2 linked regions of the Diceros bicornis minor genome follow. The protein of the gene in region 2 purifies or fractionates together with the protein of the main gene of each other region. This does not show direct contact. Links are inferred from orthologs where the notes say so. Each region holds a gene or a part of one and is shown on either strand. Other genes may lie near its edges.

Region 1 (7,346 bases), on a different chromosome or scaffold from region 2:
ATATACATGGATTCTCGGCAGACTGATTCAAATAATACAGAGCCGAATCTTTAAAATACAACTACGGAAAATAAAAGGGGGAAAACCTTAAAATATCACAATAAATTTACAGAAATATTACAAACCATAAGAAAATATTTCAAACACAGTAATTTCATGTTGTTTTTTTATCTGAACAAAATGGAAAGTTGGGAAACAAAAGCTATTATAAATTACCAATTGTGTCAACCTGCAGGCCATTTTTGCTTTTAACAGTAAGTTAAAAAAAATTTAGTACAATCTAAAACTTTTGCCCCTTTAAAGAAGACCACGGAGATGGTTTTGCCAGTGCTTATTCTAATTTTTTCCTTTTGTACAATTTTTAATCAATTAAAATGTCCAAATCTGAATAATTTTCTTCTTTCCACGTTTGCAACTGTCCTAAATTTCAGCTGCAGAATCAAAATTCAGCAAGAAGCCTCTCCTTGAAAAATATTGGCAAATTCTCAGCTTATAAACAATGGACATTTTGATTGCCATGTTTATCTCGATAAATACTGTACAAAAGTTGCTTGCAAATATTAAAACATTTTTTTCGTCGCTTGGAGACTAGCTCTAAATATTATTGGTAAAGACTTTTGCAAACTTTCTGCAAAGCTCCTACCGTATCACTAGAACTTTTAAAAAGTTTTGCGTAGCTTTCTTTCCTCCAGATCTATACAAGGTCCATTCCCTCGCCCTCCCCACCCCACCCCCCCGGTTTTCTCTGTACAAAAATAGTCCCCCAAAAAGAAGTCCAGGATCTCTCATAAAAGTTTTCTTGTCGGCATCGCGGTTTTTGCGTGAGCGTGGATGGGATTGGTGTTCTCTGTTGCAGCTGTCATTTGCTGTGGGTGATGACTTTTTTTTTTTTTTTTTTTAGCGTACCGGGTTTTTCTCCATGCTGTTTCTTACTCTCCTCCTATTTCCCTCGTTTTTCTTTGAAAATTTCTCCCCCACCTCCAGTTCACTGTCCGGCCCTCACATGTGCGAGAGGGGCAGTGTGCCGTTAATGGCCGTGCCGGGCACCGGGCCGCTCTGGTAGTGCTGGGACATGTGAAGTCTGCTGGGGGCGGCGGGCTCCGGCACCTCGGCGCCGGGGAGGTACATGCTGATCATGTCCCGGAGGTCCCCGGCCTGGCAGGGCGCCCTGGAGTGGGAGGAAGAGGTAACCACGGGGGGGCTGGAGCTGGCCTCGGACTTGACCACCGAGCCCATGGAGCCGAGCGCCATGCCCGGGGTGCCCTGCTGCGAGTAGGACATGCTGTAAGTGGGCGAGCCGTTCATGTAGGTCTGCGAGCTGGTCATGGAGTTGTACTGCAGGGCGCTCACGTCGTAGCGGTGCATGGGCTGCATCTGCGCGGCGCCGTGCGCGTTGAGGCCCGGGTGCTGCGGGTAGCCCAGCTGGTCCTGCATCATGCTGTAGCTGCCGTTGCTCCAGCCGTTCATGTGCGCGTAGCTGTCCATGCGCTGGTTCACGCCCGCGCCGAGGCCGGCGCCCACCCCGACCCCGCTCGCCATGCTGTTGCCGCCGGGGGCCAGCAGCCCGCCAGGCAGCGTGTACTTATCCTTCTTCATGAGCGTCTTGGTTTTCCGCCGGGGCCGGTATTTATAATCCGGGTGCTCCTTCATGTGCAGCGCTCGCAGCCGCTTGGCCTCGTCGATGAACGGCCGCTTCTCCGTCTCCGACAAAAGTTTCCACTCGGCGCCCAGGCGCTTGCTGATCTCCGAGTTGTGCATCTTGGGGTTCTCTTGGGCCATCTTGCGCCGCTGCCCGCGGGACCACACCATGAAGGCGTTCATGGGCCGCTTGACGCGGTCCGGGCTGTTCTTCTGGTTGCCGCCCGCCGCCGCCGCGGTGGAGTTGCCGCCGCCGCCGCCGCCGCCCCCCGAAGTTTGCTGCGGGCCCGGCGGCTTGAGCTCCGTCTCCATCATGTTGTACATGCGGGCGCTGTGCGCGGCCCGGCCCGCCGGCGGCCGCCGACCCTCGGCCCGGCCGGGACTTTGGGGGGCCCGCGGGCGGGGGGAGCGGAGGAGGGGAGGCGGGCGGGGGTGTCGGGAGCGCAGGGCTCCGCGAGGAAAATCAGACGAAGAATAGTTTGGGGGAAGAAAAGAGAGAGAGAGGCAAACTGGAATCAGGATCAAAAAAAGCGCTTCCTCCTCTTCTGGCCGATCCCGCCGCCGCCGATGATTGTTATTATTATTTTTTGGAAAGGCTTAAGCCTGGGGCTCAAACTTCTCTCCCTTTCTTTCTCTCTCCTCTTCTTTCTCTCAGTCCTAGTCTTAAAGAGGCAGCAAACTACTTTCCCCCTTTTGCAAACACTCTCTTCTCTGCCTTGACAACTCCTGATACTTTTTTGAACAAGTTAATAGACAACCATCCATGTGACGGGGGCTGTCAGGGAATAAATGGGTTTCCGGCGACCAATCAGCGCGCGGCGGCTCCTCCACTCGAGCCCGGCCTCGCCGCCGGGTTTTGCATGAAAGGGGGCGGGGCCTGCCGCGCCGCCGGGCGCGCGGGGGAGGCGGGGGACGCGGGGAGGGGGAGGCGGGGAGGAGGGGAGGGGAGGGGAGGGGGAGGCGGCTCCCACAGCCAGCCTGCCAGCCACTGAGAAACCTTTGTATCCCCTCTCGCAGCAACAGGTCACACCACACGCCTTTTCGAAGGAAGTGGGTAAACAGCACTAAGACTACGATTTTTTTCTTCCTTAAACTTAATGTGGATTTACTTTCTGGTGCGGGCTGCTGAAATGAGGAAGGGGCGCGAGAAGCAGCTACGGGGTGGGGGCAGGGCAGGGCCGAGTGGGTGGTTCTGGGCGACTGTCCTACTAGTATTTCAGGAAACGGGCCGCGCTGGAGTTGGTGTGTCATTGTTCTCCCGCTCCTCCGCACGCTGCCCCCACGCCGGCCCTCGGCTGCTTCTCCCTCACCCCGCTCTGGCCCTCGCCCCTCTTCCTCCGCGGGGCCCGGCCCTCGCTCGGCCCCTTCTCACTCTGCCCCGACGAGAAGTTAGGACACGGAAAGCTCTGTCCTCAGAACGCTCCCTGCTTCCACGTAGTTTGCTCTGCTGTTAAAATAAATCCTGCTCGGCCTCTGCGGCCGACTCGAGAGCCGAGGCCAGGCCGGGCCTGGGTGAGCTGCCGCCCGGCCCGGCTCTCTGGCGCGGGGACCCGCAGCCTGTCCCCTTACCCCCAGCCACATCGCCCACCAGTCTTTCTCCATTCAGTCGGTGCAAAGGGGATGCTCGTGTTCTCGTCCTCTCCCCATTCTCCTCCTGAGCCTCCCTCAAGGAGGGATTTCACTTGTGCGGGTTGCAAAAGGGGGCTGGGCGAAGAAAGATCCACAGAAGGGCGCTCAGAAGTGCGGGCTATGGGGGAGGGGAATCTCAACTTCCTGGCATCCCACCGCACTGTGTGGAGGTGGCTTGGGCCGCACTCACAAACTCCCTCCCACGCAGAGTTCCCAGGACTCCAGCAGAACCAGCCCTGGCATTTCCTCCAGTGACTTCTCCCGTGGTGGCCGCCTGGCCGGGGCCGCTCGGGTTGGGGCTGCGCTCCGAGGGGGCCCTAGGCCTTGGGGGCAGGGGTGGTGCTCGCCAGGCACAGGTGCAGGCAGTGCAGGCAAGAGGAGGGCGGCCGGGACTGGGGACGGGGGAGCCCAGCAAGGCTAGGGCTGGAGGAGGATGGGATGGGGGCGGGGGTAAGGGCTCAGGAATCCTGCCCGCCCAGGACCCAAGAGGGTAATTTTAGCCGCTCTCCCATTGTCCCAACGTAAAGATTTCAATAGGTAGGCGCTCAATGCGGAGAGCAATGGCAGCACGTCCGTTACAAATAGGTAGTTTTGTTTCTCTTGTTGTCGCTACACGGAGTCAAACAAAGACCCGTCTAAGTTTCCTTCCACTCTCTTGTTGGGATCTTTGTGGCTAAAATGCACTTGACTACAAAGGGGAGGGGGGGGGTTGTGGAGAAAAAACCCTTGATGCCATTTCTTTTTTATAAAGGGCTTAAACCATCAGGGTTACTTATTTTCTTTCTTCTGTAACACTCTCTCCGCCCCCTCCTCCCCTGATCTACCCTTACTCACCCTAAGAAAATGTACTGAATAGTATCTGTCGGCCACGTTCCATTTATTATCTTTACAAAACTGTGCATTGTTTTGTTCCTTACTAACCTTCTTCCCATAACTGCCCTCTCCCCTACCCCGGCCCCCAGTCCAACTTCTCCAATCCCTGCCCTCTCAGGCTTTTCTGTTCTTGTCCAACTCAAGATAACTGTGCTCCCTGGAAACCCAGAAAAGTTGTAAAAGGAATTCTACAGACTTGTCGTAATAAATTATTACCAATCAACCTTCCCTCCCCCTGCAGGTTCTCTTTTTTCTATTAAGTTATGGTTTGTTTTAGTTCTTAGGAACGCGGGAAGTATGAGACTGGCTTTCTCGAAAAGCATCAATATATGGCACTCTTCAAAAGAAAGCAATGTCTTCTGTTTATGCGAGGTGTAATATTAAGCTAAACACGGACCTGGAGATTAGGAAAGAGAAAAGGTTGAGAGGATCTGGAGAAGAGAAGGCGGCCACCGGCTTTTCAGCGCGTATGGTTTCAGAGATGTGGCTGGTGCGCCCCCTACTGGTGGATTCGCTTTTCCAAGACTATTGCTTTTACCTTTAAAAGAAGGTGTTTGGAAATAATTACAGAAAAAAAAATGAGGGGGATGGGAGGAAGATCAAACTAATTACACGTAATCTAAACAAAAGAAAAGTTAACATATCATATAAGCTATGGAATCAATCGTAAGAATTAGATTTAATTTGCTTAACTTAGAAATGTACATATAACCTCTAGATAAGTGGGAGGTTAAACCATGGGAAAAAAATAGGCACAAATTATGAGATTCAACATATGAATGAATTATGATTGTCCAGACGCCACGAAGGGCAGACCAAGCATTCACTTTATGATTGCGTATACATTGGTCTGCGCCTAACTGCATTATTCTGAAAACTAAAAAAAAAGCTTATGGATAATTAAGTTTGAAGAAAAAAATCAGGGAGTTGGTGTGGATAATGGTGGTGTATATGAATTGAAATAAGTATTAATAACGGATGGTTATAGAAGCAAATATTTTTAATCTCTCTGTCTCTCAAGGGGTAGTAAGTAGTAAGAGGCACAAATTTTTCCTTGGGATGATGTATAAAAGCTTTTATACATTCTCAGATGCATGTGTTTGTGCCTGAACTCTATAATAATGCATTTAAGAGGTTAAAGGGGCTGGCTAGGTCTTTTTGTTAATTGCTTTTATCATATAAATAAGCTATGGAAATACATTGCAATTGTGTTATCATTGGTTGCATTTATTTACAGCTTTATTTTAATTAAGCCTGCTGTACTTATCAAGGCAATAAACTAACTGTGGCTGGCGTTTATGCATAATAATGTGCTATGAAAATAAGATTAAAGAAGATGGTGATAGCAGAAACAATTTTCTCATTAGACTTTTTAGAACATATGCATTAAAAAAATCAGATCACCGGCCACTCTATTTCAATCCAGCACCATCACTGGCCCCTAAATATAATAATAACTACAACAATCATAATAGATGACAGAAGCAGCACTGTTTTAGGTTTATAACAGACGGCTACAGGACTAATAACAATATGCCATTGACTCCCAGGGAATCAAAATAAGACTCGGAAGAGGGTGCTTCATCCTCTGAGAATTTAAAATGTTGCCATTGGCACCATTTATGAAAATTGAAAGTGCTTAATCTAAAGAGAGGGTAACATTTCCCTTCCATACACAGCAAAAAGCTGCACACTTTTAGAGCAAGATTAGAAATTATGAACAAAAATGCATAACCCCTGGGATATTCTGATTTGATTTTGTTCTACTATAGGCCCCAGCCCCAAATCCTTAACTGATTAAGTGGAACTCAATTTTATTTACAAATCTCTTGCATTGATATTTCTCTCCTCAACTCCCCTCATCCCTCCTCAAGTACTATATCTGAAGCCAACTAACAATTTTGTGGAGATAGGGGACTGTAGACTTATTTTTTCTTCTTAGTGGCAAATAGAGGTTTAACTTGCAGTAATTAGGTGAGAACTAGCCAAGCATCTTACTATTATGATGCTTGTTAAAAAACGCTTCTTTTCTGCATCTGCATTTGAGTGTGTTCCCCTCCTCTCTTAATCTTCTTATGGAAATGAAGGCAAACGGCAGGGAACCTGCAGAGTCTTGGAGAATGTCCTTGTTAACTGGAATTTCTCAGCATTGCTAATTAGCAGAGTTTGACGACCACCAGTATTGGGGGGAAAGCTCTGTTTAACCACTCACAAACCATTCCGAGGAAGAGCAGACTAATTTTATTTTGTAATTAAAATCTGAAAAGGGCCCTATTTGACAGTTAGGGCTATGAGAGTTTTATCTCCCCGTGAAATAATTACTGCCTTGATAACTCAATTTTCTGAAAAATGTCAACTGTGGGCTCCAAAAGTTTTAATTTCATTACGTAAGGGAAAAAAAAAGAGAGAAAAATAGAAGAAAATGTACAGAGAGGCTTTCTAATTCTGGAACTGGTTAAATATATTAGGAGGCAGATTTGGCCAAATGAAGGGTTTTTTCCTCCCTTTTTTGTCATGTTTCCTCCGGATCCTAACCTTCCAGCCATCTCCACTGAGAGTGACCAGAGCAGGGATCAGACTGCAGTGAACGAGGTCATTCAGCAATGTGGCAAGAGGCGAATAAAGCTAAAAAGAGAAGTACGGCAACCCAAGAAAAGTTCCTGATTTTAAAAGCCAAAAATAAAGGAAAATTCCAATGTTTAGGACAATGTTGTTGCAATCTGGTGAGATGAAATTTTATTGATCTTTATCCCCTAACACAAGAAAACTGAAAATTACAAAGTAAGGAGACTGGCATAAGCCAATTTTAAAAGTATTTCCTTCTCCCTTCTAAATCGCAAAAAATCCACAATCATTCCAAATTGGAGCTTGCCACAGGACTTCCAGAATGATCACAGCTTGATCCTCCAAGATTTATGAAACAAACACAGACAAGCGAAAGTAAAGAAAGGTATTAGAGGATTTCTTTTCCTTAAAAAAGCATCACATATTTTCCAAAAATAATCCGTAAGAAATAAACTGGAAAAAGTTAGGACACTGAAAGTCACAGCAAAAATTAGAATAGAATTGTACTATTCACAAACTTCATTTCCTTTAGACTGTGAAGGATCCCTCACAAGAAATCCTAGAGAGGCTACTTCAATTTTTATAATGTGATTTTCAAAATGATAGAAACTCTTTCATTTACATTTCCTCCATTTTCTTCC
Region 2 (7,455 bases):
CACTCTGCACCAGGGACCTTGTAATCACTTCAGGAAGCCATAACCAACATCCTAGGCTCTGTGAATTCCCCTCCTCTGCCCTAGCCATCCCCACCTATAATCATCAACTCTATTCATTATTTGGTCTCCCAAGGCCAATAACTGAAGATTTTAACCCAATATACAAAGACTATCAAGTATTAGCCAGTATGAAAACACAAAGTAAGAGAAAAATATCAGATACTTTTTTTTAATGCTGAGTACATTTTGGATGTTTGAGACATCACAATATTTCACTGAACAAAATATTTGACTTTTAACAGGATGTGGCTATTTAAAGAAAGAAAACATTTGCAGAAGAAAATACTGATGTTTTGAGGCCCTAAGTTTTAACTGAGCAATTTATTTGCAGTACCATACTGCCTGTCCAATCTCACTGCTTTTCATGTATAGAATAAAGTCTACCTACTTAGTCTTTTTCATCCAAAACTATCATTTATCATTTCATTTGTGACAATCATAGATCACACAAAAATCAAGCTATAGTAGAGAACTCTTTTCTATTACCAAAACTTACTAAACCTTGGTAAAGGTTTTATCTGAAGGCAAAAATATTCTGGGCTTCTTGTTCTAGTTAGTTAAAAGTTTCCAGAAAATCAATCTCTTTTGGAAACTGATTTTTCTCAAGCAATGCAACATAAGTTGATCCTATTACTTTGCAAGTAGGTATGGAAAGATGATCTTTCCTTTTGGAGGAGAGACACAGAACAGCTCCACTAACAAGTCAACTACTTCAAAACTTAGGGTGTATGGCAGTCTCAGATGCTGCCTTCATAAATGTCAACAGACCAGCCATTTTTACTAGATACAATAATAGATCTCTAGAATTTTACCTAGAGCCTTCTCCTATTTTTTCAAATATTTGCCACTTTGAGGTGCACATTTTATGATCTGAATCAAATCAACTTGTCTTTTCTTTACTTCATGAAATGAAAACTCAAGATGATCTAAATATTCTTAATATTGTATACTGACACTACAGAAATCAGAAACAAAGCTGATTACTTGTTTACACTAGGAGTGCAAAAAAGAAAAGGTAGCTTAAAAAAAGATACATTACTTGTAAATTTCTCAGACTAGCTAAAGCAAAAGGCAGGCTCAAAAATGAATCAAAGTGCCCAACACAACTGCAAAATAGGTTTTGGCATTGCATAGTCAGGATTCTTGGTGTATAAAGTTAGGACTAATATAGAAAACATGCCCTACTTCTCTCCTCCCTGTGCAATTTTCTCAGTTACAAGTTACATTACAAGCACTACCAACTTGGTTCTACCAATGACAGGAGAGCTGTCCTCACTACTAGCCTGGTTCTAAAATTTACAAAACAGTCTTTAAAAAGATCTCTAACGAAATAAAATCAGAGTAAGGATCACATAACAAAATGTTAAAATAAATGACTTAAAAACTTATTTCAGTATTTAAAGGAACTATGTAACAACTCCAAATACTTAATATTTTCAGAAACTATTCCAAAAGTTTCGCAAACATGTTAAATACAATATGGCTACAGCAAAGATTAGACAAATCCGAACCCAGTGCCAGAAACCAAGCCTCCAGCTTTCAGATTGAAAAGCTGTCCGCCCTACCTGAGGCGGTTAGATTCTTGGGGACAGAGGCCAATATCTTAGCAGCAAGTTAGGCCTCTTTCTCCCTCCGGGAAGCGCATGACAAACAGGGCGTCATGCAATTTATGTCACCCGGTCACTTAGCAAAAATAGCTAACTTCTGAACTTGGGTCCAGGTGGCCTTCTATACTCAAAAGAAATAGAGAGCAGCGAAGTATTGGGAGAGACGTGGGCTTAAAATGCCCCCCTTTCTAACCCTATAAACATTTAGCCCATCATTAGATCTGAGTCCTAGATTCTAAGACTTGCTTTAATGGAGGCCTCCCTCAACCTCCTCGGAGTCTCTGTTTTGCCACAGTGAAGGAACTTTTCCTGCTTTATCTCCGTTCCCTGTGAGCATGCGGCCCTGCCAATTCAATATCCTAAACCGGCAGGGAACGGTGGAGGAGGGAAGGGGAGAAATCCACGGCCAAAACAGCCCTCTTATGAAAGACAAAAAAAAAAATCTTAATTCCTCCTCCGCCCATAGCAAAACCCATCGCAGAAATTTACAGCGCGTTAAGAAAGGCAGCACTGCGAACTGCAAACGTAAGAGTTTTCCTTTGACTCCACGCACGGTTTTCAGCTGTCAAATTACAACTCAGGAAAACACTATCATTAGAATAAAAAAGGAAACAAAAAAGCTCGCACCACAGGGGCTGGGAGCAGGAGCTGCCAGCACCGTTTCGGAAGAAGGAGAGCAAAGGGAATCCAATCCACTTACCCACCCCCGCCTGAATTCAACCCCTCCCCAGGCTGGCAAACCTCACTGCAGGGGCTCAAATTTAATAATAATAACAATAATCATGGCGCTTCCTCCCTCCCCCCACCCCCACCGCGATCTGCCGGGAATCAGCCTCCCCCCTCCCCCGGGATCTCCAGGCTTGGCTGGTCCAGACCACCCGACCGGACACAGCTCCCGGGGGCCCGGGCGAGCCGAGCCTACCCCAGGGCCCCTCGCCCCGCTTCTCCTCTTCCCTCTCTTTTTACCTCCACCATCCCCCATCCGCATTGTCTGTCTCAATTCAACTTTGACTAATATGGATTCCTCGGGCCTGGGCCGGGCGGTAATTACAGCCCGCCCCCCCGGGAGCCGGATCCCCCCCCATCTCCGCGGAGTTCAACGCGGCTCCTCGGAGGGGGACGGGGGGGGGGGGAGGTTGCAGCGCGCTTTCCCGTCTACACCGCGCTCCCCCCGCGGCCCCGGGCCCCCAGGACCAGAAGTTTGCCCCGGAAGGGGCCTAGCCAGGGGCAATGTGGACCCCCCGGCCGGCCGGCCGGCGCGTAAACACGGGCGCCTGCCCCGGCGCGGCCCCGTGGGGGAGGGGAGGGCGGGGAGGCGCCCCTCCCCCCGCCCGCCCGCCCGCCGGCCCCATTACCTGTCATTGAGCTGGTCCTCGGTGCCCGGCAGCGGGTGAACCACGAAATGGATGGACGTCATGGTGCTTCCTTCTCGTCCTCTCCTCGAGGACGGCCCCCTCCCGCTCTCGCCCGCCCCCCCCAAACCCCCTTCCCCTCCCAAAACCCACAGCCGCCGCCGCCGCCTCCCAGTCCCCAAATGGAGGGAAGCAAATGCGCAGGGGCCGCCGCCACCTCCCTGCCGGGCGTGTGTCCGCGGCCCCGCGGTCCGGCGGGGCGGGCGGATCAACACGCCACCCGCTCCCCCGGCGACAGCGCGCAGGAGTGCAAGGCCGGCGGCCGGGACACGGGGCGCGCCGCCGCCAGCGGCAGCCGGGCGTCGGGAGAGGGGGCGACTGGGAGGGCGGAGAGGGGCGGGCTGCGGGGACGGTGTGGTCCCGGCGGCGGACGGGGTCCGGACTAGGGAGGTGGGGAGAGATGAGCCCGCACCGCGCGTCACTGGCGAGAAGCCGCCGCCGCCGCCGCCAGCACCGCCGCCGCCATCTTCACTTCTGCCCCAGTTTCTCCGTCTCGCAGGCTCCGCTCCCGAGCGGCGGGGGAGGGGCGAACGGGAGGAGGAGGAGGAGGAGGAGGAGGAGGAGGGAGGAGACCGGCGGGCGGGGGCTCGGCTGCGAGGGGGCGGGGCTCCGGGAAACGGGCGGTAAGGCCCTTCCGATTGGGCGGCTCAACGTTGTCGGGCCACGACGCTGTAAGACGCGCGCGGATTGGTCCGCTCGGCCCCCGAGCCCGGCCCCCGGGAGGTGGGATGTCTCCCGAGTGAGTGTTCCGGAGAGCACGTGTTAGGGAAGGAGGAGGCGCAGGGGCGAGCCCGCCGGCGGGGAGGGAGTCCGGGAGGAGGCTGAGAGTGTGTCCCCGGGGAAGTGGGAAGCAAAAGGGGCTCCCGCGTCCGTCCTCTCTCTGATTTCCCTGAGGCAGCCCTAATTATTTTGCAGACCCTTAGGGGTTTTTTGTTGTTGTTTCTCGTCCTTGATCCGCAATTATATTTAAAGTGGCAGTGTAAAATCGGTGAAAGGGCAAGAAATACACAGCCTTTTATTGGAGAAGTAAGGTAGTTATATAAGGACCTTTCCAGAAAGTCCTATCGTAGGATCATAAAGCTGACTTTGCAGCAACTTCTTGATCACCCTAGTCTCCCCGATTTCTCCACCACCACCATCACATACCGGCACAAAGACAAAATGTGGAAATTTCCACCGATTTCCTGATGTAAATGATTCATGATTTTTTGTTTTTACTACTTTTAAAAGAAAGATGATATATCACTTTTACAAAGGCGTTCTTCAACTTAGGATCAGTGGGATCGTAAAGGCAAATTCTTGAATGGATCTATCTGCTTTTTTCTAGGGAACCAGCTCCTAGCTTTTTTCTCAAAGGCTTCTATGACTCCTTCAAAAAATCAAGTACTTCTTTCAAGACAAAAAGTGAAAACATGAAGCTTCTTCTCCAGCCTGTGTGGATGTTCGTTAAATCGGGGGTCCTGTGAAACGGTCTTAACGTTAAGTACCACTTTTCTTCTGTTAATGCATTATATACACACAAACTTTTGCTTAGGACGTTCCTTTGAGCAAAATATATGAAAATTTATTTATAAATCAGGATAGAGTAGGTACCCCTTGAGACAGATAACGGAACACTTTTGTAGGTCACCAGCTCCAAAATTGGCCCAGATTAGTTTAGACTAAAAAGTGATTTCAAGGCCGCTATTTATTAGAAGTCCACGCCAGCCATGGGGAAGCAGGGTAGATCAATGGACACTGCTAGTTTTAGAGCCATACAGACCTGGGTTTGTGTCCTGTTCCTGCTGCTTTGCTTTGTGACCTTGATTAAATTATTTAACCTATCGTAGTGTCTTTTCTCAATTGTAAGATATTTCATAGTAGTAGATCTACATAGGGTTGTGGTGAAGTCTACATAAGATAATGTATGCCAAGCACCTGGAGCACTTCATAACACTTAGTAGGCTCAGAAAATGGAAGTTTTTATTTGTCAAGTGCTCACTATGTAACACTTTATACACATGTCTTTTAATGCTCAAATCACACTATGGGGTAAATAATATCATCCCCATTATGAGGATGAGGATACTGAGGCTCGACACCTTAGGTAAGTGCTGAAGCTGAGACTTAAACCCAGGTCATCTAACTCTGATTCCATTGCTCTTTCCACTATAGCACAGCTGCCATCTAGTTAATAATTTAGAAGGAACAGACTGTTCAAAGCCAATAGGAAAAATGTGATATGATAAATGCAATAAGAGTGCCATGGAAGTTAAAGGAGGAAGCGATTGCAGCCAAGAGAATTAAGAAAAGTCATTTAAGCTGAGCTTTCAAGAATGTCCTGGGCAAATAGAGTATCTGGCTTAAACCTAGTCATTTTTAGATTTGCCCCTAAACAAACTCCACACCATACCCATACTTGCTTCATTACTCTTTCTTCCAAATCTGTCTTTCTTCATCTTTTCATTATGCTTCCACCCTGCTTCCAACTTGATTTACCCACTCCTAGTTTCCTGGAACAGAGACTTTCCCTCCTGGTTGAAGGCTGGTCCCCTGCCTCCAGGCAGCCCATTCAAACTGCCCAGTTGGTTTTTGACTGACAACCATCTTGGCATTGCAACCTTTTTGTTGTCCCAGGCTGGCGTGTTAGGGAGAATTTTCCTCTCCCAGGGCCCCAAAACTTTGGTGGGTCACACTTTGAACAAGGAAAAACAAGAATAAAGGCATGGAGTTGTGCAAGCCCATCACATGGATGGAGGAGGGGGGAATACAAGTAGGGAATGGTGATAAGCAGGGTTCAAGCAGAAGCTGTTTGAAGAGTCAAAGTGGAATACTCGCCTAGAAAAGATGGCTGAGGGGCCTCTTTTCTAATAATTTGGACTAATTCTCCCTTTGAGAACAGCTAGAAATGTTAGACAAAATATTTCTTTAAGTCTGCTTAAAAGCAGAAGAATGTTAACAAAATGATGAATTACCAAACCAGGATCCAAAGGATGAATAAGACCCAAAGAAGTGAGTCCTGGTTTGTGTTTGGAGCCACTTTTTCCGCTGGGATAAGCGCCAATTCCAGAAAGAGGGAGAAGCCAAGAGGCTAAGCAGTTCTTCTGACAAGCACTGAGGGCTAAGACAACAGGGATTGATGTCCAAGCTCCCCCAATGCAGTGGGGAGTGCTAATGACCTCTCTTACTTTGTGCTGAGCCCTGAAGGACTGCACCCCTGAAAAAGGTCATGTCTTTAGATTTGGTTTCCCCCAAAACAGACCTGGAAACAAGGATTTGGCTATAAATAGTTTATTTAGGAAGTGATTGCAGGAAGCACTGTGTGGGGATGGAGAAATGAGACAGGGAAGGGAGAAAACCCAATAAAAGATGGGCTGAAGAATGTTTTACCACTGTGGGCAACTGGAATTCAATCCCACTGGGGACCATCTGAGAGACTGTGTGGGACACACCTCAGAGTTATTGCCACTGAGCGGGGAGCAAGCAAGCTGGAGGTATTTATCCATCAACCCATCCCTTGGGTTGTTAACTCCCTGACACATCAAGCTTTCCTCACTTGTGGGCAAAGCACATTTCTACAGCTAAAGAATAGCCTCAAGAATGAAAGAAAAATAAAGACATTCACAAAAAGAAAAAGAAATGTGAGACATTCTTAGCAGGCACCCCATACTAAAGGGTATTTTTCAGGCAAAAGGAAAATAATTCCCCAGTGTAAGTTCAGAAAGGCATAAAAGGAAGAAGCCGAATGAAAAGGGAAAATACGTAGGTATATGAATGTTGGTTGACTAAAACAATGGGGCTTAAAAATCCAAGACACTAACAACACCAAATGCTCGCAAGGATGTAGAGCGACAAGAAGTCTCATCCATTGTTGGTGGGAATGCAAAATGGTGCAGCCACTTGAGAAGAAGTTTGGTGGTTTCTTACAAAACAAAACATACTCTTAACATATGATCCAGCAATCATGCTTCTTGGTATTTACCCAAAGGACTTGAAAACTTATGACCTGCACAGAGATGTTTATAGCAGCTTTATTCATAATTGCCAAAACTTGGATGCAACCAAGATGTCCTTCAGTAGGTGAATGCATAAATAAACTGTGGTTCATCCACACAATGGAATATCATTCAGCACTAAAAGAAATGAGCTATCAAACCATGAAAAAATGTGGAGGAATCTTAAATGCATATTACTAAGTGAAAGAAGCCAATCTGAAAGTCTACATACTCTATGATTCCAGCTATATGACGTTCTGGAAAAGGCAAAACTATGGAGACAGTAAAAAGAGAGAGAAGGATGAATAGGCAGAGCACAGAGGATTTTTAGGGCAGTGAAAATAGTCTGTATAATACTATAATGGTGCATAAATGTCATTATAAATTTGTCCAAACCCATAG

What was found.
Region 1: the proteins of UBR5 (region 2) and SOX2 purify together in Homo sapiens (affinity purification with western blotting; 3 studies listed by BioGRID and IntAct, with this or other methods). This does not show direct contact. The link is inferred for Diceros bicornis minor from reciprocal best matches to the Homo sapiens genes UBR5 and SOX2.

What each region holds. Positions count from the first base shown.
Region 1 is NC_080754.1:41,644,189-41,651,534, forward strand, and holds SOX2 (transcription factor SOX-2), read right to left. Parts: upstream 2,234-7,346; 5' UTR 1,963-2,233; coding exon 1,000-1,962; 3' UTR 734-999; downstream 1-733. UniProt on the Homo sapiens protein: Transcription factor that forms a trimeric complex with OCT4 on DNA and controls the expression of a number of genes involved in embryonic development such as YES1, FGF4, UTF1 and ZFP206. Binds to the proximal enhancer region of NANOG.
Region 2 is NC_080760.1:20,706,850-20,714,304, forward strand, and holds the start of UBR5 (E3 ubiquitin-protein ligase UBR5), read right to left. Parts: upstream 3,115-7,455; 5' UTR 3,085-3,114; coding exon 3,023-3,084; intron 1-3,022. UniProt on the Homo sapiens protein: E3 ubiquitin-protein ligase involved in different protein quality control pathways in the cytoplasm and nucleus. Mainly acts as a ubiquitin chain elongator that extends pre-ubiquitinated substrates.